7 linked regions of the Cricetulus griseus genome follow. The protein of the gene in region 4 interacts with the protein of the main gene of each other region in a pairwise test. Links are inferred from orthologs where the notes say so. Each region holds a gene or a part of one and is shown on either strand. Other genes may lie near its edges. The genes, in order: Atf5, Rbl2, Cdk6, Ccnd3, Vdr, Crabp2 and Eif3k.

Region 1 (4,333 bases), on a different chromosome or scaffold from region 4:
GAGGCAGAGGCAGGCAGATCTCTGTGAATTCGAGACCAGCCTGGGCTACAAGAGCTAGTTCCAGGACAGCCTCCAAATCCACAGAGAATCCCTGTCTCCAGAAACAAAACAACAACAACAAAAAAATACACTCCTTTTCAGTAACACAGACATGTCACCACTCAAGTGTGGTGGAAGTCAGCCAACAACTTTCTGGCGTTGCTTCTCCTGGGATAACTCAGACTGTCAAGTCTAGAGACCACCACTCAGCACTCAGGCCCTGACCTTGACTTCCAATACTCCTGCTGGCCTGGCTTTTGAATCTTTTCTTAAAAACACATCGAGGCCAGCCAGGATAACCTTGAATTCATGATCCCTTCTGCTTCCACCTCCCAAATACTGGCATTATAGGTATGCACCAACCCCAGTTTATGTGGTGCTGGGGCAGAACTCAAGGTTCTTGAGTGAAATAGGCAGGCATTCTACCGAGTTCCATCTCCAACTCTTAATTTGGGTCTTGATTTAGTCTCTCAGCTGTATCAGGCAGGCTGACTTCCAGACGGAATGTCCAGACATGGATGGCCACGGGTGGGAAATGAGATTCATGCATCAGCCTAGGGAAGGACCATGGGGCTTCTTTGACTAAATGGAATATAAACATCCAATTTCAGACAAGGCCAGGAGAAAATTATCTAGTGAGGTCAGCAAGAGACCAAGGACTGAAAGGAAGTCAGGGAAAGGGGCAAAACAATGAACCACCTGGTAAGAGAGCTAAGAGGTCGTCGCAGGGGCAGAGCACCAGCCTGTAGAATGAGGAAAATGAAGATGCCCACAAACAAAAACCTTGGAAGGTAGGCCACACAGTGTGATCACACGGACATGCTGGATGGTTAAGGGCCCGGGTGGAGAGATTCAAATAGGTGAAACGATTCGGTGGGTAAAGTCTGTCAAACATGACAACCCGAGTTCCAACTCTGGGATCCACATGGTGGTAAAACAAAACAAAACAAAACAAAACTTCTCAAAGTTGTCCTCTAACCGCCACACACACACACACAATAAAGGTTTAAAAAGTGTTAACTAGGAGCCCTGTGATTAGGACTTCGTGGCCTACCTCCCATAGCTACTCTATTTGTGCGTTTATACACATTTGGGGGGCATTTTCCTGCTGCTGCTGCTGCTTTAATTCGCTTAAAATCGCTAAGCTAGCTTGAAATCGCCATCCCACGATGGGCCGACCCACGAGGGCTCACAGGAGGCGACGTCGGTTGGGACCGGTGGCGCATTCGTGAAGCATTCGTGAGCTAGCGAATCAGGAGAGCGAGTGCTGAGGGTCCGGGCGACATGGCGGGCCCAGGGTCGCCTCCGCCCCGTCGGGACCACGCGGGGGCGGGGCGGGGCGCGGAGGGATCCGGGAGGCCCGCGCTGCGCCGCCCCCGGTATATTTGTCCCCAGGCCCCGGGGCCGCCTCATTCTCCACCTTCTCAGAACCATTTCTCCTAACGCTCCCGCCACGCCGCCTCCGCCCGCCCAGCCCCCGCCATGGCTCTGTAGCCGTGATCCTGTGGTGCCCCCGGCCCGGCTTCCGCGCTCACCGCGCCTGCACTCTCCGCTCCCGCCGTCTGTTCAGCCGAGGCCGCCGTCGCCGCCTCTCCTTTCCGCAGCCATGGAGTGAGTAACCGCTCGCCCCTCCCTCTCCAACCGCCTTTCCCGCCCTTTCCCAGAGCTCGCGGGGCTTCACGGACCAGCCGCGTGGGGGTGGGGAGACGGGGAGCCAGGAACCGCGGCCGCGCAGGCGCAGAGAGGGACAATGGTGGCCGGTGGGTCCGCTGGGCATGCGCGCTGGGCTCGAGCCGTGGAGGAGGGTATGCTTCCGGAGGGTTGGGGGTGGTGGTTTAAAGACGGCTCGCTCGCCTTCGCTCCCGCACGCTGCTTCCCAGTGCCTCTCCCTCCCTCCCTCCCTCCCTTCTCCCAGGATGCGACCCACACCCCGTGGCGCACGCGCACTAACCTACCCGAGGCCGGAACTACGAAGGGCAGCTCTAGCGGCGTTACAATGGCCCGCTTTCAGGGTGCGAGCATGCGCTTTGACGCAGAAAGGAAGGGTGGGGTTTAAGTCAGGCCGATTCCTTGAGGCGCTGACTCAGGCCCCGCTTCCCTCCAATCAGGCACCTGCTGGGGCGGGGAATGCTTAGATTGACAGGGAAGACAAGGTTTAGGAACGTCTTTAAGGAGGTGGAGCTAGCACCGCAGGGGCGGGGCCTCTGGGACTTGCTAGTTGAGGGCGGGAACCGAGGTAGACAGGCAAGTGGGCGGGGCTTCTTGTAGAGTCTGTGGAAGTCGCCTAAATTTTTTTCTATTTTTTTGATTTAAATTAGAAACAAGATTATTTTACATGTCAATCCCAGTTCCCTCTCCCTCCCCGTCACCTAAAAATTTAAGGGAAGAGTGGGATTTGAGTGTGTGACACTGATGAAGGGCCCAGGCATGGCAGAATCCCTCTGGGAATCCCTGTGGGTCGGTGGACTCTAAAGGGTGTAAACTAAAGGGAATATTGATGTGGAAGGGGCATGGCTAGAAGACAATTCCCTTGGGATTCAGATTTTTATGAAGAGGGGCTGGAGGTGATTCCCCTAGGGAAACAATAGGTTTCTGTGTTGAGGGAGGAAATGGGGCTTGTGAGTTCAAGAATTCTCTTGGGAATGTGTGGAGCTCTGGAATTTGGGGAGAGAAGTGAAGTGTGAGGGGCCTGTAGGTCAAGCAGCTTTTAACCCAACCCAACCCCACCCCCTTTTGTCTCCTTCACAGGTCCTCCATCTTTGTCTTGCTGCCTGTTGTCACCCAGCTGAACAATCTCCCAAGCTGCCTCCCCACTATTGGTGCAGCCTCCATCCGTGCCCTGCGCCTGTGTCTCAGCCATGTCACTCCTGGCGACCCTGGGGCTGGAACTGGACAGGGCCCTGCTCCCAGCTAGCGGGCTGGGCTGGCTCGTAGACTATGGGAAACTCCCCCTGGCCCCTGCCCCCCTGGGCCCCTATGAGGTCCTTGGGGGAGCCCTGGAGGGCGGGCTTCCAGGGGGGGGAGAGCCCCTGGCAGGTAAGAACAGGTAGAGAGCAGAGGTGGGTTGAGCTTGAGGCAGGGAGGGAGGGCAAGAAAAGGAAGAATGTATTCATTCCCAAGATGAGTACTGAGGGCCTCAGCTCTGTTCTGGGTGTTCAGGGTTCAGAGCAAAGGGTCCCTAAGCTCATGGAACATTAGGGAACAGCTGTTGAACTGAAAGTGATGAAAGACCTAGTTGAGAAGTCACATAACCTCCAAGTAGACAGACATATGAACTGGGGGCTAGGGGATGAGAAGAAAGGAGCCATGATAAGGCCTGAGGTGCTTCCATCTAAGAGACTCTAGGGCAGACATCATTCTCTCTTAACTATAACAGCAATTGCAGCAATAATAAGTAGCTGGCCCTGGTGGCACATACCTATAGTTCCCCCTTTCAAGAGGCTTCTCATCCTCTTGAGCCCATGAGTTTCAGGCCAATCTAGGCTTCTCAAAAACAGAAAACAAGAATGAATAAAGATGGAATGTGAGAGACAGAGAGCAAGAAAGAGAGATCCAGAGAGAGTGAGAGAGTGTGTGTGTGTGTGTGTGTGTGTGTGTGTGTGTGTGATCTTAGCACCCTGGGGGAGAGGAAGAACCATCTAAAGTTAAGACTGCCCTCAGCTATGTTCAGGGCCAACCTAGACTACATGAGACCTTGTCTCAAATAAATAAATGAGTAAACGAGAGAAAACATAGGTATAGGGGTATAGTCAACCAGCCCTACAGATAAGACAATGGTTTCAGAAGTAGTAGCTGACTTGAGTGGATCATTAGTTGGTTGACTGCTTCACTAAGTGGTTAGCCTATTATTCCATTGCTTAGTTGGTAAATTAATTGGTTGGTTGACTGACTTGACTCATTGATTGGCTTGTTCACTGATTGGTTAGTGAGTTGATTAGTTTATTAACAAGTCTGGTGAACTGTTTGATTGGCTGATTGGTTGGTTGACTGGTGAACTCTGGTTCATTGCTCACTTCAGTGGGTTACTTGGTTGGCTACTGAACTGTATGGTTGGCTGATTGGTTAGTTGCCTCATTCATTGTTAGTGGATCAGTTTGTTGATTGATTGGTGAAGTATGGTTGGCTGATTGATTGTCTGACTTTTTCATTGATTAATGAATTGGTTGGTTGGTTGATTGGTTGGATGGTTTGTTACATGACTGACTGGTTTGTTGGTTGCCTGATTCATTGGGTAGTAGGTTGGTTGGTTGGCTGATAGATTCTATGGTTCACTCATTTGTTAGTTAATTCATTG
Region 2 (3,540 bases), on a different chromosome or scaffold from region 4:
TTTTTTTTTTGAGAACGGTTTCCTCTATGTAGCCCTAGAACTAGCTGTCCTGGAACTAGCTCTTGTAGACCAGACTGGCCTTGAACTCACAGAGATCCACCTGCCTCTTCTTCCCAAATGCTGGGATTAAAGGCATGTGCCGCGACCGCCCGGCTCATTTTGCTTTTATACTCATAAAACTTTTGCATGCAAAATCATAGTAATTGTTACTCAGTTAACCAGGGCATTTTCTTTTTTCAGGTAATAGAAGTATTTATTAGAGCAGAAGATGGTCTTTGCAGAGAAGTGGTGAAACACCTCAACCAGATTGAAGAACAAATTTTAGATCATTTGGCATGGAAAACAGAGTCCCCACTGTGGGACAGAATTAGAGATAATGAAAACAGAGTTCCTACATGTGAAGAGGTTTGTGACAATATCTTAACACCTATCTGTAAGGGAAGCATATCAATATTGTTTATGGTCCTCATGCTACAGAGAGTGGTTAGAGCTGGGGTCTGCCCTTGGCAGGCATGGGTTTGCAGTGTGGTTAATGGTTTATTCTTGTATCAAAGAGGAAACAGAATCAGGTTCTTTGAGGAACCTGTAACTGCCCTCAAGATTTCCATGACAGTAAAAATTAAGGCTGCTATCCTGACCCTCCAAATCAGTAAGGAACATTGGTTCACATGTAGTATCCGGTATCAAGTTTGAATCTCTTAAGACTGAAGATTTTAGTGTTAGTAATTTTATTAAGAAATAACTAATCAGACAAAAGTCGTTTCCTTTTGCCTTAGACTATTACTGTATTTCTAGTGAAATGCTTTTCTACTATTAAGATTTTGTGGAAATAACTCTTTGTAGGTAATGCCACCTCAAAACCTAGAAAGAACAGATGAAATTTGTATTGCTGGCTCTCCCCTAACCCCGAGAAGGGTGAGTGAAGTCCGCAGTGATGCTGGAGGGCTTGGAGGAGGTAAGTCTAAAATAGGAAGAGGAGTGTTTGCGTCTTCAATCTAGATACTTAGATTTCATCTAAACCTGTAAGTAAAGTGAATAGGCCATGCAGAGCAAAGACTATTCTATGTCTTTTAGTGATGTATTAATCACTTAAAAATGCTTTTTTTCCTGGGCAAGAAGATTGGGACAGGGTCTTGTGTAGTCTAGGTTGGCCTTGAACTTGCTATGTAACTTGCTATGATGACCCTGTACTCCTGACTGTCCACTTTCCAAATGCTGGATTCCAGGTGTGTATCACCACTCTTGACTTAAATATGCTTTTAAGGAATATTAAGAACATAAAAACATTTTTGAGAGATGGTTTGGTTGTATAACCCAGGCTGACCTTGAATTCTAGATTCTCTTGTCTCCACATCCCTGCTACAAGGACTACAGGAGTGTGTCACCATGCCATGCTTACGGGTATCTTTTTAGAACACTTTACATTTGATTTGGTCTTCATTTGTAAGTGAATTTTTATCTGTAAACACACAAAAAAAAATGGGAAAATCAAACTGTTAATAATACTTACATTGTTAACTATAGAATTCTCAGTGAATTTTTCATTCTTTCAACTATATCTTCCTTTTTATGGTTTTGTTTTGCAATGTTTATTAGAGATAGGAGTCTCACTATATTGGCCAGGCTGATTTTCAATCCTTGGTCTGGTCCTTCTGACTCAACCTCTGTCATAGATGGGAATATAGGTGTGTACCACCACACCTGACTATTCTTAAAGATAGAGCTATGAGATCTGGTTAGATACAGATAAGTCAGTGAGACAGGATGGCTTCATGGTTGGACCATGTTCAGCTTTGTGACTGGAGCTATGCTACTTAGGGTAATGTGATATCCATACTGGCCCAAGAAGTACAGAAAATACAGGCTTAAGTTTTTGCTGGCTCCTGAGATGACTGCCTAGGTGCAAGGTTTATATTTATGTATGGGAGTCTGTCTTCTTTGATTTTCTTTCTATTTCTCTCCCCTGGTGCTGGAAATTCAAGACAGGGCCTCCCAAATGCAAAGCACACATCCTGCAATAGATGGAGTACACCTCCAGCTCCACAACTGTTTTCAAAGAACAGTTGTATAGTTCCAGAGAGCTCTGCATCCATCAGAACATTGTCATTACTAAGCCAGTTTTATAATGTACTTGGTAACCACTAGCTATCAAAGGATCAGTTTTAAAGTCAAGTTTATTCCAAGTCAGTGCCGTATCAATAAACACAGATGATACAGAGTGTGGTGACACTCCTCTGTACTCAGCACTTGGAAGGCTGAGGTAGGAGGGTCTTAACTTTAAGGCCAGTCTACTTTAGCTACAAGAGACCCTGACTCAAAACAATAACAGACAACAGAAAACCAAACTAACTCACTAATTAAATGCTTTATGAAATTTTCTCACTTAAAATTGTTTTTAGATTTATTTTAAGTTTATGAGTGTTTCACCTGCATGTATGTCCACACACCAGGTTTGTGCTTGTGCCTACAGAGGTGGAAGGTGTTAGATCCTCTGTAAGTGGGGTTACGGATGGTTGTGAGCCACCATGTGGCTGCTGAAAACCAACTCCACGTCCTCTGCAAAAGCAGTGCTCTAAAGTGCTGAGGCATCTCCAGCCCTTGCTCATTTCTCAAAGAACAGCAATAATTGTTTAACTACTTTCAGTCATACAGACCTGGTTTCAGATCTGATAAACTAGTCTTTTCAGTACCATTTTTGTAGTTTTTCCTTCCCAAGTCTGTGAATTATAATTTGTCATTTACTTCTTGTTGTGCCCAAGTTGTGAAGACACCTAGAGACCACCAGGGAGACAGACCCACTGAACTGTAAAAGCAAGGTTTTATTGTTCATCCAACCATGACAGGGACCCTGTCTGGCTAGCCAATGCAGCAGCCTCCAGAGGGAGTGAAGTTCCCTGTCTACTGCTAGGTTTTAAAGACAAAAGTTACATCAGTAGGTATGGGTTGGTTTCTGATTGGGTGATATATGGGAACAATCAGGAGAATTTCTCAAAAGTCGTATTTTGGCATGAAATACCTGTGTACCAATTATTCTCATTGGTCAGTGCTGAGAGGGAACATTCTGTGGTTTCTATGGCTTTGTCTTGTTACTTGCAGGTGGCCTGTTGTACATAGATACCAATAGTTTTTAGAACTATATCCTGGAAACTACAGGGGAGGTTTTGGTCTCCCCTGGAGTTTTTTTTTTGTTTTGTTTTGTTTGTGGCCAAACAGTTCCTAGGAACCAGGATTCTAGGAGGCTTGGGAGGGGGGCAGTTGGAGTTTCTTTGTGTCTAGTTTTGGCTCTAGGCTCCTGGAGGCCAGAGGATCTGGAGTTTCCTTGTGTCAGAGGCCTAGGTGTTTTTTTCTGTAGCCTGTCATGGCTGCTAAAGCAGGGACTGAGTGAGGGTCTGATCCCTTCACTTCTGTTTCTCTGTACTTCCTAACTTGTCTCTTTATGAATCTACATGGTTGGATCCACAGCTCTGTCCCAGTCTTTATGTCTTCTTGTAACACAGGGAAAGTTAAGACACAGCTTCCAGGGTTCACTCTTGTTGGTGT
Region 3 (4,179 bases), about 35 Mb from region 4:
GGCGTATCTGCGCGGGCGCATCTGCGTTTGCGCACACGCGCGAGCCGAGGTCCCGCGGGCGGGCGGGCGGGCGGCCTCCCCTCGCTGCACCGGTGGCGACCCTTGCGGCGTTTGGCCGAGGCTTGGGGGCCGAGGCTCATGAAGGGATTTCATTGAGGGAAGACAGAGAGCAGAGACAGAAAGCAGAAGGAGGCGGCTGCAGCCTTTGTAGTCGCGGAGGAATGCGGAAATGTTGAAGCACTATGTCAAACTTTTTTTTGAAATGGGGTCAAGTCACATTCAGCCAGCGTGGGAAAGCAACAACAACAACAGAAAAGTGGAGGAGGGGATGGGGCTGGGCACCGCCGCTCCGCTCCGCTCTGCTGAGGGGGGGGGGTGCGGGCCTGCGGGGGTGGGACGGCCGCCGCCTCCGGAGCCGAAGGAGCTGGACGCGGCCGGCCGAAGGGGGAGAGCGGGCGGGCGGGCGCCGAGGCCGCGGCTGCCGCTACCTGTGTGGCCCTCGACCTGGCGGCGGACCCCCGGGCGAGTTCTGGGGGTGCATCCCGCAGCTTTTCAGGAAAGCTCTCAAGGGAGCCCCGCAGAGCCCCTGCCCTGCCCGCGCAGAGCTACGCCCGCACCCAGTGAGGGTCGCGCCGTGGGTTCTTTCATTCCAGGCAGAAAGAAGGGCGAGCGAGGAGGGGTGCGGGGCAGGTAAACGCACGCCGAGGGTTCCGGACGCGCGGCTAGCGTGGGCCAAGGTCCAGCCCAGGCTGAGGCCGCCGTGGGACGGGAAGGCTCGCTCGGTCATCCCTAACAACTGGATGGGGAGGGGACGCCCGACCGCGCGTGGGACCCGGCCTCCAGCCGCTGGGCAGCCGAGCGACCTCGGGGCGCTCAGGACACCGGGCGGAGGTTCTGCAGTCGCAACCCTAGGGCAGCCCCTCTCACACGCGGGCGTCCCGTGCTAACCCCCCCACCCCCACCGTCGGAAGGGCGGTTGCTGCAACTCGGTTGGTGCACGGGCTCAAGTCAGCTGCAAACTTAGGGACCAGTTGAGGTCCCGAAGTTACTCTTTTCCGGACACGGCGAGCCAAAGTGACCGACCTCCCTTCCCAACACCCTTGGGATCTCGGGGACTGGGGGGGGGGGCGACAACACGACACTCCTCCCCTCCCAGGGCCCCTCGCTCTCCCACCCCTGGCAGCCCCAGCCCTCCCCTACCAGATGGTGTGTCCTCCCGGAGTTTGCACCAGGGAGGTCCTCCGAGTCGGAGGCAGGGTTCTGTCTCCCACTAAGAGTGCCAGACCCCGAAGACCATTTGTGTGTGTGTGTGTGTGTGTGTGTGTGTGTGTGTGCGCGCGCGCGAGTCCCTTTTCAATGTCTCGGCAGAAAAACTGAAAGTAGAAAGAAAGGAAGCAATTTCCGAGCAGATGTCTGACCACCCCTACTCGCGTACTCCTTCCTAGCGTCGGCTTGCAGGGTCCTGGGGAGCCCCAACCCCATTCTGCGGCCCCACGCCCCGGGAACCCGCAGCGCCTACGCACCCGCTTCCCCAACGGCCCCCTCCCCAAGTCCCCCGTCCGTCCAGGCGCCCGGAGTCGGTCGGGGAGGGCGGAGGAGAAGAACAACGGTATCGGTCGAAATATTGAGCCGTGACATTGACGCGCCCGGCGCCTCCCCTCCCCCGCGCTCCCGGCACACTCTGGGCTGCTCGGCACGCCCCCTCCCTCCCGTCCCGCGCGGCGCTCATCCCCGAGGGGCCCCTGCAACCTCTCCTCGCAGAGACTGCACGAGAGCCCCGCCGGGCAAGAAAAGTAACTTGGCTTTTCTCCGCGAGGGACGGGGCGAGCTTAGGCAGCCGGGTGGAGGGCCGGGGCGAGCGGAGGGGAGGAGGAGGAGGGGAGCCGGTGGAACCCGGTGGAAGCCTTCGGGACTGGCTGGCTGGCTGATCGCACTTTCTCCCTCGTCCTCCCGTCTCCTCCTCCTAGGTGCAGAGATTGTGGGCAGACTATGTAATCGCTGCGCAGGGGGAAGAGGAGGGATCGGCGCTCTCCAGCGGCGACTCGGCTAGGCGGAGTTTCGCGGCGACTGCGCCCGGCTTTGGCCGAGGTCGCTCTGTGCAGCCCGGCGGCGGCGGCTGCGAGTCCGACTCCGGGCGGCGTGCAGGCGGCGAGCGGGCGAACGCACACCCCGACCGAACCCTCCGTGCCGCGCCGGCAGCGTCCAGCCAGCATGGAGAAGGACAGCCTGAGCCGCGCCGACCAGCAGTATGAGTGCGTGGCGGAGATCGGCGAGGGCGCCTACGGGAAGGTGTTCAAGGCCCGCGACCTGAAGAACGGCGGCCGCTTCGTGGCTCTGAAGCGCGTGCGAGTGCAGACCGGCGAGGAGGGCATGCCGCTGTCCACCATCCGCGAGGTGGCGGTGCTGAGGCACCTGGAGACCTTCGAGCACCCCAACGTGGTCAGGTGAGCGGGGCCGGGAAGGTGCCGGGCGAGCGGGCGAGGGGCGGCTGCTGACCCAGCTACAGTCACAGTGGAGTTTTGCCCATAGAAATCGGTGACCTTGACAGCCAGGGCATAAAAGGAGACCCGCAAGTGGCTTTCCTGCAGCCAAGCAGCTCTGAAATGTTTTCGCTCCCTTGCTTGCCCCAAGGGGGTGGGGGTGGGGGTGGGAGTCGTGACTGGGATTGGGTGGGTGTCTTTGGGGAACAAAACCAGACAACCTAGAAACGTCCCTCAAGCCCTTACCTACTTTTCCCGTCTGCGGGGGAAGTTTTGAGAGTCTGAGAATGAGAGAGGTATCCAGCTTGTGGTAATTAGAAGGAAACTGTAAGGGTGGAACCTAATAAAAATAAAGTTTAAGAAAATGAAGAAATGTATAAGAATATGTTTGCCAATCACATCCATGGTGGTGCCCCCCCCTTTTTTTTTTAAAGATGTAGAATGATGACTTCTGATGTTCTTAAGTTTCAATGCTGACGCCTAATGTTAAACATTGATTAAAAAAAAATAACGCCGTCCACGGCTGGGTACTAGGAACACTGAGCCGCGAAGATCCTGAGTTCAAGGCCAGCCTGAGTTACAAAAGACCCTATCTAAAGAGAAAGGGGGTTGGAGGGAAGGATGGGATGGGGGAAAGCCTCTTATAGCCATTATCTGATTGTATCATTTAGGATCTGTGGACTGGTAAGGTCGGTCTTAGACTGCCTCTCCCAAGGGTTGGATGTGAGGCTAGTGTGTGGTACTCTAAAAGCCTCTTTTCCCTGGAAGAGTTGTGCAAGTGGGTGGGGAGGCGTTCTTAACCAGCTTTCCTGTGAAGTAACTAGCTTTAAAAGAAAGTGTGTGCCTGCGTATGTGGTGAGGATAATGGTGTTTTCTCAGGGGTGCTGGGATTTCCCCAGTGTGCCTTTCATCCTTTTCTTTTTTAAACAGATGCATAGCTCAGAGTGAAAAGGCCGTGCATGGACCCTTGTACAAATTAGGTGATGATTTCACCCTTCTCACTCAGCTCTGTGTATAGGAGAATCATGATCTTGGCGTCTTCATCCTGTCTTCTCATTCCTGTGGGGATTTGGTGCAACAAATATGTGCCTACTGTGTGCCCTGGGGATGAAATTATGTAAATAAGCACAGCCAAATATTTTTGTAGAAAGTCAAACAATTTAACATTAGTCATCAAAATGGAGAGACCCAAGACTGACCTTTGAAATACCAAAGCCCTCCGCAGACTCGGAGTCTACGGAATCCTGAGAGGTTTTTGTAGTGCTTTGTTCCCAATATAGTCAGATTCAGGCCACAATGCAGCAGTGAGTCATAATATATAAATAAGTAAAAAAGACACTGTAAAGCTAGGACCCCATTATACCTAAGCTTTAGCTAGGTAACAGGGTACAGGGTTGAGGTGTGAGAATGAGTCTTCCAGAAAGTCAGAATTTACACGAAACAATAGATCAGTGTGTGTGTGTGTGTGTGTGTGTGTGTGTGTGTGTGTTAAAGGAGGTCTCTGAGAATGGAGGGACAAGAAGGGCACATGCTGACTCTTGATTACTATCCTAGAGGAGTGACTCTGTTAACAACAAGAGAATTTAATACCAAATTTCCTTCTGTCTGTTACCCGTGGAGGGTCCAGGTAAGGGTGATTATCATACATGCAAATAAAACAATGTTCTTGCAATGAAGCACCCTGTTAAACGAGCTCCCT
Region 4 (3,848 bases):
TCTCATGTTGTCTGGATATCGGGGAGGGTGGCCACCTTCCCTCAGTGAGGACCCCACACAGTCTGGTTGCCTCTTGCTTCCTTGGAGGCTGGATGCTGTTGGTTACCAGGGCAAGCCTCTGTGCCTTACTTCTGGCTCTGGCCCAGGCTTTTTCTGTAGGCTCTTCTAAGTACCCTGGGGCTGACACCTAGGTCGTGGGACAGAGAGAGGGACAGCTGTTGCTGGGGTCCTGGAAGAGGTTGGGTGGGGCTGACATTTGTACCTCATTGAGGAGTCAAACCCATGAGTTCCTTCCTGAGATAAAACAATGAAGAAATCCTCATGTGTGCAACTCGGAAATGCAACTCAGGCCAGGACTTGGAAACCCAGACAAATGAGCTGGGGTTGGGGCTCCTAGACTACTACTATGACCTCTTATTGGTTATGTAGGCTTGGGCAGATGCCTCAGGGGCTATCTGGATTCATCCTGTTTGGCTTGGCCTCCGTGTCTTGAGACAGGACCCACCCCTGGTGTCCCACAAAAGGGGTGTGGGTGGGGTTGGGTAATCTCCCCTTTGAGGAACCTCAGGAGTGCCTCATGTTCATTCTGTCTCTTTAAGAGACCAGGCTGAGATGCAGGGCCAGGGAGGGACAGGCTAATGACTGTGGCTCCCCTTCTGAAGTCCTTGCAGTTTAGTCTTTCTGCTTCAACTGATGCTGGCCTCACATTCATGGGAAGACTAAGAGGGATGTCATGCCATTCTAGTACCCAGTAATGATGAATAGATGCTCAAGAAAATGCCCTGAATTCATCATTCCAAGGTGCTAACTCCTGCAGCCAGAAGTAGAACTGTAAATCTTCTGCCATATCCTGACCTGTTTTGCCAGCCACTGACTCCATGCTCATCCCCTTTCTCCAGGAATGGGAGGTGCTGGTCCTGGGGAAGCTCAAGTGGGACCTGGCTGCTGTGATTGCACACGATTTCCTGGCTCTGATTCTGCACCGCCTTTCTCTGCCCAGTGACCGACAGTCCTTGGTCAAAAAGCATGCCCAGACCTTTTTGGCCCTCTGTGCTACAGGTAAGAACCTTGGACACGGGGTTTTCCAGTTTGGGAAAAACCATGATTTGAAGGCTAAATAGTAATCAGGAGATTGTTTCCATACTCAGAACTATTCATATAGGATCTTTTTTTTTTTTTTAAGATTTTATTTATTATGTATACAACATTCTGCTTCCATGTATATCTGCACACCAGAAGAGGGCACCAGGTCTCATAACGGATGGTTTTGAGCCACCATGTGGTTGCTGGGAATTGAACTCAGGACCTCTGGAAGAGCAGTCAGTGCTCTTAACCTCTGAGCCCCTCATATAGGATCTTGGTGATCCTGGGATGGAGGTATGAGGCACTGACTAGCCTGAGGCCCCCACCCTAGGGGTTTGGGTATTCTCTAGTTCCTGACCAGGTCCAGCCTGGGTGGAAGGAAATTTTGCTGTTCTCAGATCTCAGAAGGTTGGGTGGGGTATAGTGGTTCAGTGATTTTGTGCATGCCTCAGTCAGATGCCAGCACCATGGACACACACACCAAACACTCCCATTGTCCCTGAGTCACCCCACCCACCACTGGGGGTTCCCAGTATGCTGCATCCATGCAACCTGGCATGCTGTAACAGGAAACAGAGGTATAAGATGACTCTTCTCATGGCTCCCTTTCTTTTACAAGATTACACCTTTGCAATGTACCCTCCATCCATGATCGCTACAGGCAGCATTGGGGCTGCAGTTCAAGGCCTAGGAGCCAGCTCTATGTCTGCAGATGAGCTTACAGAGTTGCTGGCAGGAATCACAGGCACGGAAGTGGTAAGTCTCAGGCCCCATTCACAAAAAGCAGTGTTATCCCTCAAATCCCCAGAAGAGGGCAGCATCCACCCCCAACTCCAGTTGTACAATTTTGCCTGCTTCTGTGGCCTTTTATCTCCTGCCTCTGGAGAGGATCAGGTGGGATGAAGGACACACATGTAGCTGCCCCTCTCTTGCCAGTGGTATGCTGCACCAAGGGGTGGGAGACTTGGTGTCAGATGCAGGGCTGCTCTCACACCCTTGCCACATCCTCTTGCCAGTTTCTGAGAACTGAGACCCAATTCCTGGGCTGGGTTGTGGCCTAACCTCCCCAGACTTCCCGATGTGCAGGGGGGTGGCCTTTCCCTTGCACCTGCCTGTTGTTACTGACCTTGTTGTTCTTCCTAGGACTGCCTGCGAGCCTGTCAGGAGCAGATCGAAGCTGCCCTCCGGGAGAGCCTCAGGGAAGCTGCCCAGACTGCCCCCAGCCCAGTGCCCAAAGCCCCCCGGGGCTCTAGCAGCCAGGGGCCCAGTCAGACCAGCACTCCCACAGATGTCACAGCCATCCACCTGTAGCTTGGGACAGGCCCCCTCAGGTGGCCACCAAGCAGAGGAGGGGCCACTGCCACCCCTTCCCTTCCTCTAGGAACAATCCATGCTATATCGGAAGCCCGATGGGGGGTCCTCCTTCCCCTCACAAAGCCCAAGGGGCCAGGTCCTGCCTATCCCCACAGTTGTGCACTAAGGTGCTGGTTGGCCATGAGGGCTCTGCATGGCCAGTCAGCTCCTCCTCCTTCCCACCTGACCAGCTCAGCTGTTCTGGGCCATGCTGGTCAGAGAAATCCAAACAGGTAAAGTCCATGCACCAGCATTCCTTGTGAGTCCCTCCTCTCTGGGGCTCTAATTTTCTCAATTGCCAAAACGCCCCAGTTCCTTCCAAAGGTGTTGCCCCTCCTAGGGTCAGTGCATTTGGATTCGGGTCCTTCAAGCATCCTGATAACCGTGCATGAGGTACCAAATAGATGGCTGCTGTGTAATCCATGCTCCCAGCTGCTCTTGGAGGGAACAGCCTAGGCCTTGGTCAGAGGGGCAAGAACCTACCAATTCTTGCTTTGCTTCCTGCTTAGCTTCTGTGATTGAGGGCTCTTTGAGGGGTGCTGATGGTCATTTTAATTTATTGCTTTGAATACAACTGTAAGAGGGTACAGTGAGGCCTGTACCCCACAAGCGGTGGTAACCCTGGTGGTTGCTGTTTCCCTCCCCTCTGCTACCGCTTTGTGGTCCAGGAGCTGCTACAGCCTGGGATGGGGCCGTGCCTTCCTCTCCTGAGGCCCTGTACCTCGTCTTCCAGCAGAGGGTTTGAGTAAGGATGGATGCTGTGGAGGACAGAGCCTATCTGGAGAGGTCCAAGCCCTATTGACACAGGTCTTTCCTTAGGCCACAAGGTTTGGGCTGGTGGCCCATTTCTATCATGCTGCCTTAATAAAGATTCCGGAATAAAACTTGCTTTGGCTCTTGAAGTACCTGGGGCTGTGTGTAGAAGCAGGGAGGCACAAGTCAGCTGTCTCAGGTAGGGAACATTTCTTCTTAAAGGCAATGTGGCCCACTTTACCGATGCACTTCTACAAGTTATGGTTTAAGGAGTGATCACCATGCCCCAGAGGGCTCATGGGAAAACAGGTCTGGACAGTTTTATGTAAAACAAGAATTTTGCTGTACTCTGGCATGGTGGCCTATTCCTGTAATCTTTGGTGGCACTCACAGGGCAGAGGAAGTTGTTTTAGTCTACCCTGTGCTACATGGCAAAATCTTGCTTCAAAACCCACACGGGGACCGCACTAGTGGCCCAGTAGCTGAGAGTATGGGCTACTCCTGAGAGCTATGATTTGACCACAACCATCAGTAACTCTAGTCTCAGGATCTGATGCCATGCAGGCACAATGCTCATGTACATTAAAAAACAAGAGATGGATGGGGTAGGAATGTGTCTGGAAATACTTTCTCTGGTTCCCATCTGCAGTACTGCAGAG
Region 5 (4,133 bases), on a different chromosome or scaffold from region 4:
GGGTTTCTCTGTGTAACTCTGGCTGTCCTGGAATTTACCCCAAAGACCAGGCTGACCTGGAACTCACAGAAATCCACCTACCTCTGCCTCCCGAGTGCTGGGATTAAAGGTGTGTGCCACCTCCACCCAGCCAGTCTAGAGGGGTTTAAAGCTGTTAACTCTGAAGTATAGTTACCAGAGACCACTGCCTGCCCTCAAGGCTTCCGGGAAAGGTAGTGTAAGAAAGCAATCTCTCTCTATTCCAGGACCTACCCAGGGAAATGTGGAGTCAGGAGACAATAAAAGGTTCTAGGAGAACAAGGAGAAAGAAATCTTGCTTTTGTCACTGTTATAAAATGACTTACTGGGAATAAAGCTTGGGTGGCTAAAATTCTTGTTCAGTATAAATACAAAGTGTCTTATTATAAGGTAACAAACCATATGACAGACTAATACACTCTATGGTGGCTCATTGTTGCCTGGAGATGGTGGCAAAGGTTCGATGGGATGGACAGAGCTATGAAAGAGAGCAGAGTCTGGAGGGCCAGATGAGGTCCAGGAACTGGGGGAGGATGAGAAGGACATACTAGAAGTGTGATGGTGGGAGCAAATCATAGTGTGTGACATCTGTAACCTTGCAAAATTTGCCAAATCTAGAACCTCTGAGTTCTTCATGGCAAGAGAGGATCGGGGGATGGGGTGCAGAGAACCGGGAAGCTGAGGCAAAGCCAGCTGGAATGAGATCGCAGTTAGCCAGGAACGTGCCCCCTCGCTGTGGTTAAGCCGCCGGATAGGAGAGAGCTCACAACTCCAGTCTCCAGTCCACTTGGGTCCCCCTGTGCTTGTCCTAACCGGTGAAGTCCGGCTTTGCGCCCAGCATCAGAAACTGGCCGGCGATTTCCCAACGGCGAACGGAGAAAGGCTCCTCGCAGCGCGCCGCGGGCGTCGGGGTCCCGGGTCAGCTCAGGTGCGAGTGACGCACCTGGCAAAGGCGTCTGCAGCAGACTGGGTAGAACCACGGCAGCGGGGCGGGGGTGAGGTGGCGAATACATCACGGATCACCGCAAGCAGAAACATGGATCTGCACGAACGGAATCATGAAAGACCGCCCCAAGTAGGGCAGAAGCCTGCGCCTCGCTGTGACCGGAGGTCGTGGATCCTTTCACAAAGCAGGGTCTCCTAGGCGACAGTGCAGTGGTTGACTCCAAGTCAAGAAGGTTTCAGGGCAGGAGAGGACTGGACCTGGTGGGCGTGGCTAAGGGAACAGGGCGGTCCGGGGGCGGGGCCTTGCGGGGCGGGGCCAGGTGCTGAGCCGTCTCTGCTTGTCAAAAGGCAGCTGCCGAGCCAGCCCTAAACGCCGGGAGCGCCAAGCAGCGTGTCCACCCGCCGGACCAGGTGAGGATCAGGGAGCAGCGGGAACCGGGTTCAGGGTGAGAGATTAGATTCAGGGGCGGGCGTCCGGGGTCGAGAGGTCTTAGTGCCCAGGGGCAAGAACTAGAGACCAAGTTTCGGTAGCAAAGTTGGCGATTGAGATCCGGACTGTGGTGCCATGAGGTTGGAACTCTGAGAGGGCACCCAGGTCTGAGAAAGTTGAAGTTCGTGAGATGTTGAAGAGGGGGCAGCCACCTTCCGGGATGCTTGGGGGGCTCAGCGCAGGAGTCCTTCGCTAGGACAGTTCTCACCGGACAACAAGCGTTTGTTTCCTTCCTCGGACCTGCGCTCTAGCGTGGAATGGAGGAGTAAGAAAGCAAGTGATTGGCTGTGGATGTAGCTAAGGTCTCTGGGGGTGGAGTGTGAGTAGCCTGTTTATTACCCAGTTGGGCCCATGTGTGATCACCTGTGATGGTGGAGTAGAATCCTTTAAATGGAGTTTTCTTTTGTTAACTTTCGAAAACCGCCGGTGCTTTGAGACCTAGTGTACTGGATTTCTTTATCAGAAAAGCCTGTCCACAGACGTCCAGAGGGACTCAGGGGCCAGTGTGGAAACTGAGGAAGGGATTTAAGAAATAGTTTCTGTTTGGTGAGTGAGGTTCGGAGGGAGTATTTGGAAGGGAACTGCATGATCCACTGTCGTCACGACCACTATCACCCACCTGAGGCTGCCTGCCTGTTCTGGGGGAGCCTTGCTTCTATGAGCCTAGGCCACACTCCTCTTCCTCCTCCTGCTCCTCCTCCTCTCCCTCCTCCTCCTGCTCCTCCTTGTGGTGAGTGAGTCAGCCTCCTGTCTGGGCTCAGAGCAGCAGAGGGGCCAGAGCCCAGGCAAGCAGTTGGGCAGGCATTTTCTGAGCATTGCAGAAGTTCCCTTGGACAGAGTTCAGCTCTTCCCCAGTGTCCTGGGGAAGGCCATCTTCTTCATGGACATCAGGGGTGGGGGAGTGTCATCAATGGTTATTTGATGGCCATGGGCTGATTCCAGGTGACCAAGAAGAGACTTTGACTGTTCTCTGGGATTGGAGGTACATCCCAATATTATAGGCTTACCAGCTACTGGATCCACTTCTACTGTGTTAGTGAGCCATCTTGCCTAGTAAGGCAGGCATAGAGGAGAAATCGGAAGAGAGTTTGGGGAGCAGAAAAGGCAAGCAAGGTTTTTTCCCAGGCTAGGGAGTAAGAGTGGATTCTCAGAGGCAGAGGGGGTTGTCTGGACCTAGGTCCTCAACTCTGTGAGCTAAGGGTATTTTACATTTGGGAACCATCGCTATTTCTTTCCCAGATTAACACTGGAGAGAACTGTGTGGATCTCTGTGGAACACTTTTCAGTACTGGCATGCAGCCAGAACAGGAGGTAGTAAGAGTGAAATCCTCTGCTGGTTTTGTTTTAGATACTAGAGACCCTTGAGCAGAAATGGGTAACCTGGGCCCCCACTCAGTAGCCTTTTCTAGCTTGTTTGAGAGGAACCCAGGGAGCCTGACACAGTTACATTGCCTCAAACTGTAAAGAGGTAGGAAATCACATTCTGTGCTCCGGCTTTAGGTTTGGCTATTCCTGAGCAGCCGTGACTTGGTTCCTGACCAAGACGGAGAAGGGACTGGGAAAGGAGAGAAAGGAAGAGAATCAGGCAGCCCAGCTGACCCCTCACACTTCCCCAGATACAATCCTATGCCTGTGCTTCAGGATGTTGTGCTTATTTGTAATGACGTTTCTCAGCTCCATCCCCTGTCTACCTATGAACTGATCTCTTTGAGGGACAGAGCCCTCTGGAAGCCCTCAAAAACCCCCTGGACCTCTGCCTTCAGCACAGATTGCAGGTATCCAAAGCTTAGGCCTTCAATAGAGGAAGGCCTAGGATAGTGGTTCCCAACCTTCCTAATGCTGCGACCTTTTAATACAGTTTCTCGTATTACGATGACCCCAACCATAAAATCATTTCGTTGCTACTTCATAACTGTAATTGTGATACTGTTATGAATTGTAGTTTAAATATCTGATGTCAGAATATCCGATATGTGACCGACCTCTTGTGGAGGTCATGACCCACAGGTTGAGAACCACTGGCCTAGGGTCTGGTGGGCTAGACCAAGAAGTTACCCAATACAGGAGAATTCTGTTGTACAGTTTTTCACCCTACATCCTAGGGATTGGCTACAATCAGCGTCTGGGCTGCTGCTGTCTATGCAGAATGGCAAGGCCAGGGTACCTGGGTCACATTCTGATGTGTAGCTGGATGGTGGGTTAGAGGGCTCCAGCTTCTGCTTGTCACTGCTGTGATGTTTGGGATGCAGGTAGAGGGAATAAGGACACAACCAGATTTGATTAAGAGCCTCCTGTGTGTCCCAGCATAGTGCCAGGCTGCCAAGGGATGTCAGCAGGCAGATCTCAGCAGGCCAGGCTTCTGCCTCCAAAGAGAGCTCCATGAGGAGCAGCAGCCCTGGCACCATCTCCACTGCTGTCCAGTCGAAGGCTCTGATGGGCTGAAGCCAGCTGGGCAGCTGCTCTAGACCAGCAGGACCTCACTTGTAGCTGCTGCTCTCTGATTTGTCCTTAACATTCCTTAGTGACTGTGTGATTTACTGTCCAAACTGGGATGCTCATGAGTTAAAGGGGGTTTTGTGTGTGGCCATGCAGAGACATAAACCCAAACCCAGGAGAGCTGCAAATCTACTCATCCAAACCCAGGAGAGGTCACACAGAGTGATTAAGGGACAAGGCAGGT
Region 6 (4,036 bases), about 190 Mb from region 4:
TAGGGGCCATAGGAAGAAAGAGGATACCAGGTCGAGCAGTTTTACCACAGACTACTGCAGAGGTGGGGAGAAATGGGGGGGGGGCTGAGTAACACTCTTGAGTACAGGTTGAAGCGCTCCCCGCCCCGCCCCGCCCCGCGCCCCCAGCGTGGCCTTGCTGCTATAGATACATGAGAGGGTTTTAGGTTCTGACAGTGAAATCCAGCTTCTAACCCAAGAAATGGAGAGACCGGTGGAGAGAACAAGGCAGGAATCAGGCGCCTGCTGCCCACCCCTCCAGTGTGGCCGCTCTCTCTTCTACCGGCTATTGTACCCATCTCCACGTCTCCAGACTCCTGGGGCCCAGAGGCAGGAAAGCCCACTCTCTTACCCGGGTGGCATTCTCCCTCATGTAAGAGAAAAGGGCAGGACAAGCCCTAACTCTTCCCAGGAGCTTTGAGGACCTTACAGTCACCAGGCCTGGGATGGTAGTTGGAAGGAGAATCCTAGAGGGTAGAGCCTGGGAGGAGGTTTCCCCAGGTGGGAGTGGGAGCCCTGGGCCCACTCCCTACGCTTCATCCCCACCACCCCCTCCTCTAGCAACTGGCTAAGATTTCCAGAAACAGAAGTAAGACAAAGGGAAGTAGGACTGGGCGCGGAATTTCTTCCAGATGTGTTAGTGGTTTGGCTGCTCAGGATCAGAGCTTCAAGCACCCCAACTTGAGAGTGACGGTGGGGACAATATGCTGACTGGTTAGGGCTGGGGCTTCAGCCTCCAGCAGTCCTTTTATTCCGGGGGAATAGCAGGAGTGCTTAGGTAAGAGCTGGGAAAAGGAGACACTGAGAGATGAGAGAGCCTGGAGGCACTGGGATGAGGGCTAGCAGAGACAGGGATGGGGGATGCAACCGACGGGGGCAGGGGCTAGGGCCCCAGAGCTGTGTGATGGGAGGAGCTGCAGCCAATAAGAGTTCCATGCCCAACTCCTGGCTTTAATTTCCCACTGGGATCAATAAGGAAAGGAATTTCCCGGTGCCTCTGGCCTTTCAATTATAACCAAATCTACTGCAGTTCTGCCCCAAGTGACCCCATCCCCATGATCACACGCCTGGTGGGGCTCCCTCTCCTGCCAGAAGTTTGGAGACACAATAGGGAAGCAGAGGCAAGCTGAGGGTGGAATGAGGAAGAAACAGGAGCTCAGGAGACTGAAGGAATATTCCCCTGCTTTGTTCCATTGTGTGGCTAGGAGGAAGGTGGTCTCAGCTCAGAGCAGAGGAACAGAGATGGGCTGAGACGGCAGCAAGGAACAAGTGTAGGTAGAGTAGACTGTGTGTGGTGGAGGGTCGCAGTGTGGGACTTGGACACTTCTGCCATCTATATCCCTACCCCTGGGGCTGTGTAGAAGATGAGGAACCACCCAGACTATCATGGGAGAGGCGGAGTATGAAAGTCACAAAATCCCCACACTCAGCCTCAGCCAGGACTAGGGAGATGCTCTAAGGTCAGTCAACACCGGTGGAGGACGTCCCTCAGGCCAGTGTTATTGCCTCTACTGGGAAAGTCAGCTAGGCTGGTCTGGACACTTGTACAGAAGGTAGTGATGGGGCTCTGAGCCAGAAGAAGCTGTGTTTAGTTAGCCTTGTGTCTCCCGAGCCCTTGCATCCTCAGAACTGCACAGAGAGCTTAGAGCCAGCATCCTCCCTTCCATTAGGATCCTCTGTGAAAAAGGGACTCTTGTGCCTTCTCCTATCTCCCTGGCTTAGGGACCCAGCCTTTGTCATTGTAGCAGAATGGAGGGCAGTAGAGCCCCAAAGCTGAAGTACAGGGTCAGGGACCTAGGAAACAACTCACCTCCCAGAAACATTTGGGTGCAGGTGGGAACTCTCTGAGAACTAGGAAAGGGTGGTAGAGGTTCCTGAGAAACCCGAGGTTAAGGGGAGGTTCTACCCAAAAGCAGAGGAAGCAATGACCTGCAGGGTCAGCCTGAGGTCTGGCAAAAGGAGGCAAGCAGGGCCAGCAGGACAGCACAGTTGTCTGAGAGGAAACAATAGGAAGGGCTGGAGCAGAAGGAGGGGCTACCCCAAGCCAGATGAGGGTCTGTGCAGCACCCAGGCGGGGCCTCTGTTGTTCTTGGCTCTGCCATGCTTTTCCCAGCTCCAGCTGCCAACGCTCTCCTCAGGGCTGGGCTGGGTTGGGCTGGCTGAGCCAGGAAGACAGGAGGGTGGGGTAGGGATGCACTGGCTGAGGACGTGTCCAGACTGAGTCTCAGTCCCCTGCATGGAGATGACCTGCAGTTACATTTGTGTTGGCTCTTTGGTCTGATTCCTAGTATTGCATCCATCTGCCATCAGCACTGTCCTGCATTCAGCCCTAGCAGCCAGGAGAGGAGGGATGGGACTGTAACCATGGACAAGTCCTACAAGCGTGGCAGGTGGGTTTTATGGCACCTGGGGAAAGTGGCCTATTCTGAAAAGGTCACACAGCTCTGGACAGCCCAGCCTCCTCCAACTCTTCCACTTTGCCCAAGGCACAGGGGCTGGAGAACCCCAATCCAGTTACTTCCCTGGTGGTGCCTTTCCTGCCCTTTGAGGTAGGAAACAGAAAAAGAGCTGGACCTGGGACCTTCTGATTTCCCATACCTTTGATATTATCTGGTGGCTGGAGGAAGAAGAGACAGAGGCAAGCAGCCCAGATACTGGGCCTCTCCCCCCCGCCTTGTCATCTTGAATCAGAAGAGATAAGCAGGGTTATAAGTCTGGGCATGGAGATGGTTCAGTGGTTAAGAGCACTCATGCTGCTTTTTCAGAGGACCTGGATTTGATTCCTAGCACCCACATCACAATCTTCTCTAAGTCTAGTTCCAGGGGATTTTTTAAAAAAAAAAAAAAAAACTTCATTTTATATGCATTAGTGTGAAGGTATCAGATCCACTGGAACTGGAGTTACAGACAGTTGTGAGCTGCCATGTGGGTGCTGGGAATTGAACCTGGATCCTCTGGAAGAGCAGTCAGTGCTCTTAACCACTGAGCATCTCACCAGCCCCAGTTCCAGTGGACCTGTTGCCCTCTTCTGGCCTTTCAGGGTACCAGACATTTATGCAATGCACTATATATGCAGCCAAGCACATACACATAAATTAAAACAAGTAATAAAGCTTCAGATTAAAAAAGGAATTCAGAGTCTGGTTCCTTAGCCCAGCCAAGGCCTTGTTCTTCTCCTGACTTCCACTCTTATCCTTTCCAATAGCAAAGCCAGAGAGCTGGTTAGTGGGCAGGAGATGGGGAGGAGAGGTGGCCCCATAATGACCTAGATCTAATAGTCTGTTCTGGGCAGCATGAACAAAATGGGGAAAAGATGTATGAAGTGGCAAGTTCTGGTTTTCTTCTGTGGGTACCAGCTTTGGAAAATGCCAGGTGTCAAAGAAAAAACGACACTGCCCCAGAACCACCCCAAACTCTGGTCTGTCAGGGCCCCAGGGTGCCTCACTCCCAGAGGGCACTGACCTGAGGCCTATGAACTTGTTAGCCTAAGAGGGGGTTCCATGGTTAGCACTCTGGACTCTGAACTTGTTAGCCTACCAGAGCATATATGCTGTCCAAATGATGCTCCCCTCCCCCACTTTTTCCTGGCTGCCATTCCCCTTCTAACTTGGGCCAAGACATCTAAGTGGGAACTTTGGAACTTGGGGATTAGCAAGAACATATCTCTGGGTAATTAAAGAGGCCAGTATTTCATGAATTTTGTAGTTGCCAACTACACTCTTACTATCTCATGGTCTTGGTCTCATACCTCCCAAACCCTGGTTTTCCAATGATCTGGGTTGTCAGTGGTGGGTCTTCCTACCACACTGGTAGCTAGTTCAGAGCCATGTCCTAGGGCCCCGGCTCACAGGGACACCTTGCTACCTACTCTGCCAGCTAGCCCGGTATAGGGCAGCCAGTCTGGATTCTTTGGGTGTGGGCTCCAGTTCCCTCCCCAGCAGCCAGATCATGGCATTCCTGCCTTCTTCCTCTTTTGAGTTATAATCTGGAGACTCTCATAAACTATTTACAAGTAAGC
Region 7 (3,510 bases), on a different chromosome or scaffold from region 4:
GTTCTTGAACTCACAGAGGTCTGCTGCCTCTGTCTCCCCAGTGGTAGGTATTTTTTGAGATGTTGAGGATGGAACCCAAACCCTCACACTTGTAGCAAGTAGGCAAGCGTTGTACTACTGGACTACATCCCTGCATCCCTGATCCTCACTCCCAGTTCCTTTTCTGGTTTAAAAAAAAAAAAGAAAAGGAAAAAAGGCAGCTGGAAGAAGATGGGTGGAGAAGGGTGAGCTAGACCCACACCACAGCCTCCACAGGTTTCCGCACTGTTTCCTTAATACCTCCTGCTGCCAGCAAGAAGAGCGGCCCATCCGACAGATCTTGTACCTCGGGGACCTGCTGGAGACCTGCCACTTTCAAGCTTTCTGGGTAATGTCTTTTGGATGCTGGAGTACTTGCCTGGCATGTGGGAATCCCGGGGTGCCATCCCCACACAGTGTTTCAGAAACCAGACATGATTGGTGCACACCTGTATTTCCAGAAGGTGGGAACGGGAGGGCCATCCCAGCTGCACAGAGTTGTTTGAGGCCAGCCTGAGCTCCATGAACAGTGTCTCAAACACGAAAAAGCAGTGGTATCTGCTTGGTCACAGGCTCTGTCCTCTGTCCCCTGTCCCATCTTCACATAGAACCAGGACTACCGGGTCATTCATTCTTTGCACCCGCATTGCTCAGGCTGGCCCTGTCTCCTATACTGTCTCTTCAGATGGAAACAAGCCCTGTTTATCCACTCTGAGCACCCTGCCTATCCAGCCTTCACATGGGAAGGCTGAGCTGGGCAGGTGGGTGGCCCCTGCCTGAGGTACCAGGTCTTAGGAGGCTGAGGATAGAGTTCCGGGCTAGGGGCTGCAGAGGTGACTTGGCGGTTAGGAGCTCTGCCTCACAGCCCTCTGAAACTCTGACTCCAGGGGATCCAGCATGTTTGTCTGGCCTCTGTGGTCACTGGCCATGCACCTGGTACACAGACATACATGCAGGCAAAACACCCACACCCATAAGATGTGTGAGTTTTTAAAATTAGAAATAAAAAGGTAGGTATTGTTGCAAAGGACCAGAACTTGGTTCCCAACACCCTTGCTGGGCAGTCTCTTCGGGCCACCGTGGGCACTCATGCTCACATAGATACACTCACCTACACATAAAAGTAAAATGTTATCTTTTTCTTTAAGATTTATTTATTTATCATGTATACAGTGCATGCCAGAAGAGGGCACCAGATCACATTACATACAGATGGTTGTGAGCTACCATGTGGTTGCTGGGAATTGAACTCAGAGAAGAACAGTCAATGCTCTTAACCCCTGAGCCATCTCTCCAGCCCCCAAAATGTTATCTTTTGAAATAAATCTTTAGAAAAAAAAAGTTGGAGTCAACTTTTGCTGCATAGGAAGACTATTTAAAACACAATAGCAAAAAAGTAGGGGAGAAGAAAAAAAAAAAGCCTACAGTTCTCATGGGCCTCCAGCCTGCCAGTGTCTGCAGTGAGCCTGTGCATGTCTACTGTGCTTCTAAGAACAGCTTCAAAGTCGTTTGAGGCCCTGCTCTGCTTTGTCCAAGGCAAGGCTATAGAATATCAGACAACTGTGTGTTCAAAACAAAGTCTCATGTCTCAAACATTCCTGTTAAACGGTCAAGTCAGGGGCAGTGGCTTACCCTGCTCAGTGTCCTTTTCTCCCCATGTTGACTTAGAAAGCGCTGACGGGTTTGTGGTGCCCTCTGCCTGGCCCTCACGACAACTGCAGATACCCCCCCCCCCCCCCCCCCCCCCCAGTTACCTGGGCCTTGCAGGTCCCTAGCTTCCAGCTTCTTTCCTGCTCTGACCCTCAGTCATTCAGCGGAACCAGGGCTGGGCTGGGTTTCCTGCCACCTTAGTGGCTGCTCTCCACAAAGTGCAGCCTCTCCCCTCCCACTCCTGTTGAAGGGAGTTTCGCTGGGGGCTGAACCCTGAAGAGGGTGAAGGAGGAGCTGCAGGGATACAGCAACACAAAGGGCCTGAGGTGGACAGGGTGTGGCTGGTTGTTAGGGTCATGAGGAGGCCCCGGCCACTGAGGGAGGTGGAGGTGGAGGTGGGGGACCCGCCAATACTTACGAATCACATCATATAGAGTCCCTTGATAACAAGGCTACTTAGACTTCTTAGACGTCTCTCGTTGTGGATGTACATGCTGTAGTTTGGTTGTTGGATGTCCCAGCCATGTACATTGGCGCACGCCTTTGATCCCAGGACTGAGGAGGCAGAGGCAGGTGGATCTTTTAATTCAGTGCCAGCCAGGTCTACAGAGACAATTCCAGGACAGCCAGGGTCACATAGAGAAATCCTATCTCAGTAAAAACAAACTAAAGACAGGCATGTTCTCCTGAACCAAGGCTGATCAAACATGCTATGTAGCTGAGAGTGGCCTTGAATTCCTTATCCTCCTGCTTCTAGCCTAGTGCCAGGATTACAGGCACTGCCACCATAGCCAGCAGTAGGTTTGTGTTATTTGTTAGATTTGGAGACAGTTATACTGTCACCTAGTTGGGCCAGGAAGTTGAGATTCTCCTGCCTCAGCCTCCAGAACATCAGCACGTGCTAGTGAATACCCACGACAGTACTGCTAATGTTAACACTGAGGACATCATTCCTTTTGCAGCAAGCCCTGGATGAAAACATGGACCTCTTGGAAGGCATAACTGGCTTTGAAGATTCTGTCCGAAAATGTGAGTCCTCTCTGGTGTGGGTTCCTGAGGGGCTGGGGACAGTGGCAGCAGGGTGCTAAGAAATGGCCTCCTCACTGTTCTATAAGTGGTGTGACCTAGGAGAATGGAGCTGGCAAACAAAGCAGACTACAGTCTCATGTAGTAGCCAACTTTATCCAGAGCATCAGACAGTTTATACTCTGAGGCTAAGAAAGATCACATGAGCCGGGCGTTGGTGGCGCACGCCTTTAATCCCAGCACTCGGGGCAGAGGCAGGCCGATCTCTGTTCGTTCGAGACCACCCTAGTCTACAAGCGTGAGTGCCAGGACAGCCTCCAAAGCCACAGAGAAACCCTGTCTTGAAAAACAAAACAAAAAAGATCACAATGCGCAAAGTTCACAGGAGTGCAAGCCCTTTACAATCACAAGGATAAGCTGTTGGGAAACATTTTTTGTTTTTCTTTTGGATTATTTTGAGACAGGGTTTCTCTGCATAGCCCTGGTGTCCTGGAACTTGCTCTGTAAACCAGGTTGTCCGTATACTCAGAGATCCGCCTGCCTCTGCCTCCTGAGTTAAAGGCCTGTGCCACTACCTCTGACTTGGGAAATTTTTTTTTTGAATAACAAAAATTAGCAACAATGTGTAAGCTGAAGCAAACCCCCTCCTGTATACTATCCTTGGGAGGGGCACAAAAGTACCTGCCAAGAACAAACCCATATTATGGAAGAACAGAAATGGAGGTCACAAGACTCTTGTCTTGTTTTCTTGGAGTTTTCTCATAAGCTCTTAGAATTCTTCTCACACAGCTGCATTCTTAGACCATGTTCTGACAG

Evidence for each region.
Region 1: the proteins of Ccnd3 (region 4) and Atf5 interact in a two-hybrid assay, tested with the Homo sapiens proteins (2 studies listed by BioGRID and IntAct). The link is inferred for Cricetulus griseus from reciprocal best matches to the Homo sapiens genes CCND3 and ATF5.
Region 2: the proteins of Ccnd3 (region 4) and Rbl2 interact in a two-hybrid assay, tested with the Homo sapiens proteins (2 studies listed by BioGRID). The link is inferred for Cricetulus griseus from reciprocal best matches to the Homo sapiens genes CCND3 and RBL2.
Region 3: the proteins of Ccnd3 (region 4) and Cdk6 interact in binary tests that used the Homo sapiens proteins (3 or more experiments, as listed by UniProt). The link is inferred for Cricetulus griseus from reciprocal best matches to the Homo sapiens genes CCND3 and CDK6.
Region 5: the proteins of Ccnd3 (region 4) and Vdr interact in a two-hybrid assay, tested with the Homo sapiens proteins (2 studies listed by BioGRID and IntAct). The link is inferred for Cricetulus griseus from reciprocal best matches to the Homo sapiens genes CCND3 and VDR.
Region 6: the proteins of Ccnd3 (region 4) and Crabp2 interact in binary tests that used the Homo sapiens proteins (3 or more experiments, as listed by UniProt). The link is inferred for Cricetulus griseus from reciprocal best matches to the Homo sapiens genes CCND3 and CRABP2.
Region 7: the proteins of Ccnd3 (region 4) and Eif3k interact in a two-hybrid assay, tested with the Homo sapiens proteins (2 studies listed by BioGRID and IntAct). The link is inferred for Cricetulus griseus from reciprocal best matches to the Homo sapiens genes CCND3 and EIF3K.

The regions. Positions count from the first base shown.
Region 1 is NC_048599.1:153,651,707-153,656,039, reverse strand, and holds the start of Atf5 (cyclic AMP-dependent transcription factor ATF-5), read left to right. Parts: upstream 1-1,512; 5' UTR 1,513-1,574; coding exon of another isoform or gene 1,575-1,816; exon of another isoform or gene 1,817-1,931; intron 1,932-1,994; exon of another isoform or gene 1,995-2,051; intron 2,052-2,787; 5' UTR 2,788-2,897; coding exon 2,898-3,075; intron 3,076-4,333. Other genes in the region: Il4i1 (L-amino-acid oxidase), read right to left, coding at 1,575-1,816.
Region 2 is NC_048596.1:166,771,807-166,775,346, forward strand, and holds part of Rbl2 (retinoblastoma-like protein 2), read left to right. Parts: intron 1-240; coding exon 241-405; intron 406-843; coding exon 844-955; intron 956-3,540. UniProt on the Homo sapiens protein: Key regulator of entry into cell division. Directly involved in heterochromatin formation by maintaining overall chromatin structure and, in particular, that of constitutive heterochromatin by stabilizing histone methylation.
Region 3 is NW_023276806.1:221,710,860-221,715,038, forward strand, and holds the start of Cdk6 (cyclin-dependent kinase 6), read left to right. Parts: upstream 1-1,368; 5' UTR 1,369-1,793; intron 1,794-1,967; 5' UTR 1,968-2,211; coding exon 2,212-2,444; intron 2,445-2,529; exon of another isoform or gene 2,530-2,840; intron 2,841-4,179. UniProt on the Homo sapiens protein: Serine/threonine-protein kinase involved in the control of the cell cycle and differentiation; promotes G1/S transition. Phosphorylates pRB/RB1 and NPM1.
Region 4 is NW_023276806.1:256,945,215-256,949,062, forward strand, and holds the end of Ccnd3 (G1/S-specific cyclin-D3), read left to right. Parts: intron 1-899; coding exon 900-1,059; intron 1,060-1,702; coding exon 1,703-1,839; intron 1,840-2,226; coding exon 2,227-2,394; 3' UTR 2,395-3,324; downstream 3,325-3,848. UniProt on the Homo sapiens protein: Regulatory component of the cyclin D3-CDK4 (DC) complex that phosphorylates and inhibits members of the retinoblastoma (RB) protein family including RB1 and regulates the cell-cycle during G(1)/S transition.
Region 5 is NC_048595.1:394,401,383-394,405,515, reverse strand, and holds the start of Vdr (vitamin D3 receptor), read left to right. Parts: upstream 1-1,293; 5' UTR 1,294-1,374; intron 1,375-4,133.
Region 6 is NW_023276806.1:66,518,734-66,522,769, forward strand, and holds the start of Crabp2 (cellular retinoic acid-binding protein 2), read right to left. Parts: upstream 2,830-4,036; 5' UTR 1-2,829. UniProt on the Homo sapiens protein: Transports retinoic acid to the nucleus. Regulates the access of retinoic acid to the nuclear retinoic acid receptors.
Region 7 is NC_048602.1:6,873,584-6,877,093, forward strand, and holds part of Eif3k (eukaryotic translation initiation factor 3 subunit K), read left to right. Parts: intron 1-292; coding exon 293-367; intron 368-2,630; coding exon 2,631-2,697; intron 2,698-3,510. UniProt on the Homo sapiens protein: Component of the eukaryotic translation initiation factor 3 (eIF-3) complex, which is required for several steps in the initiation of protein synthesis.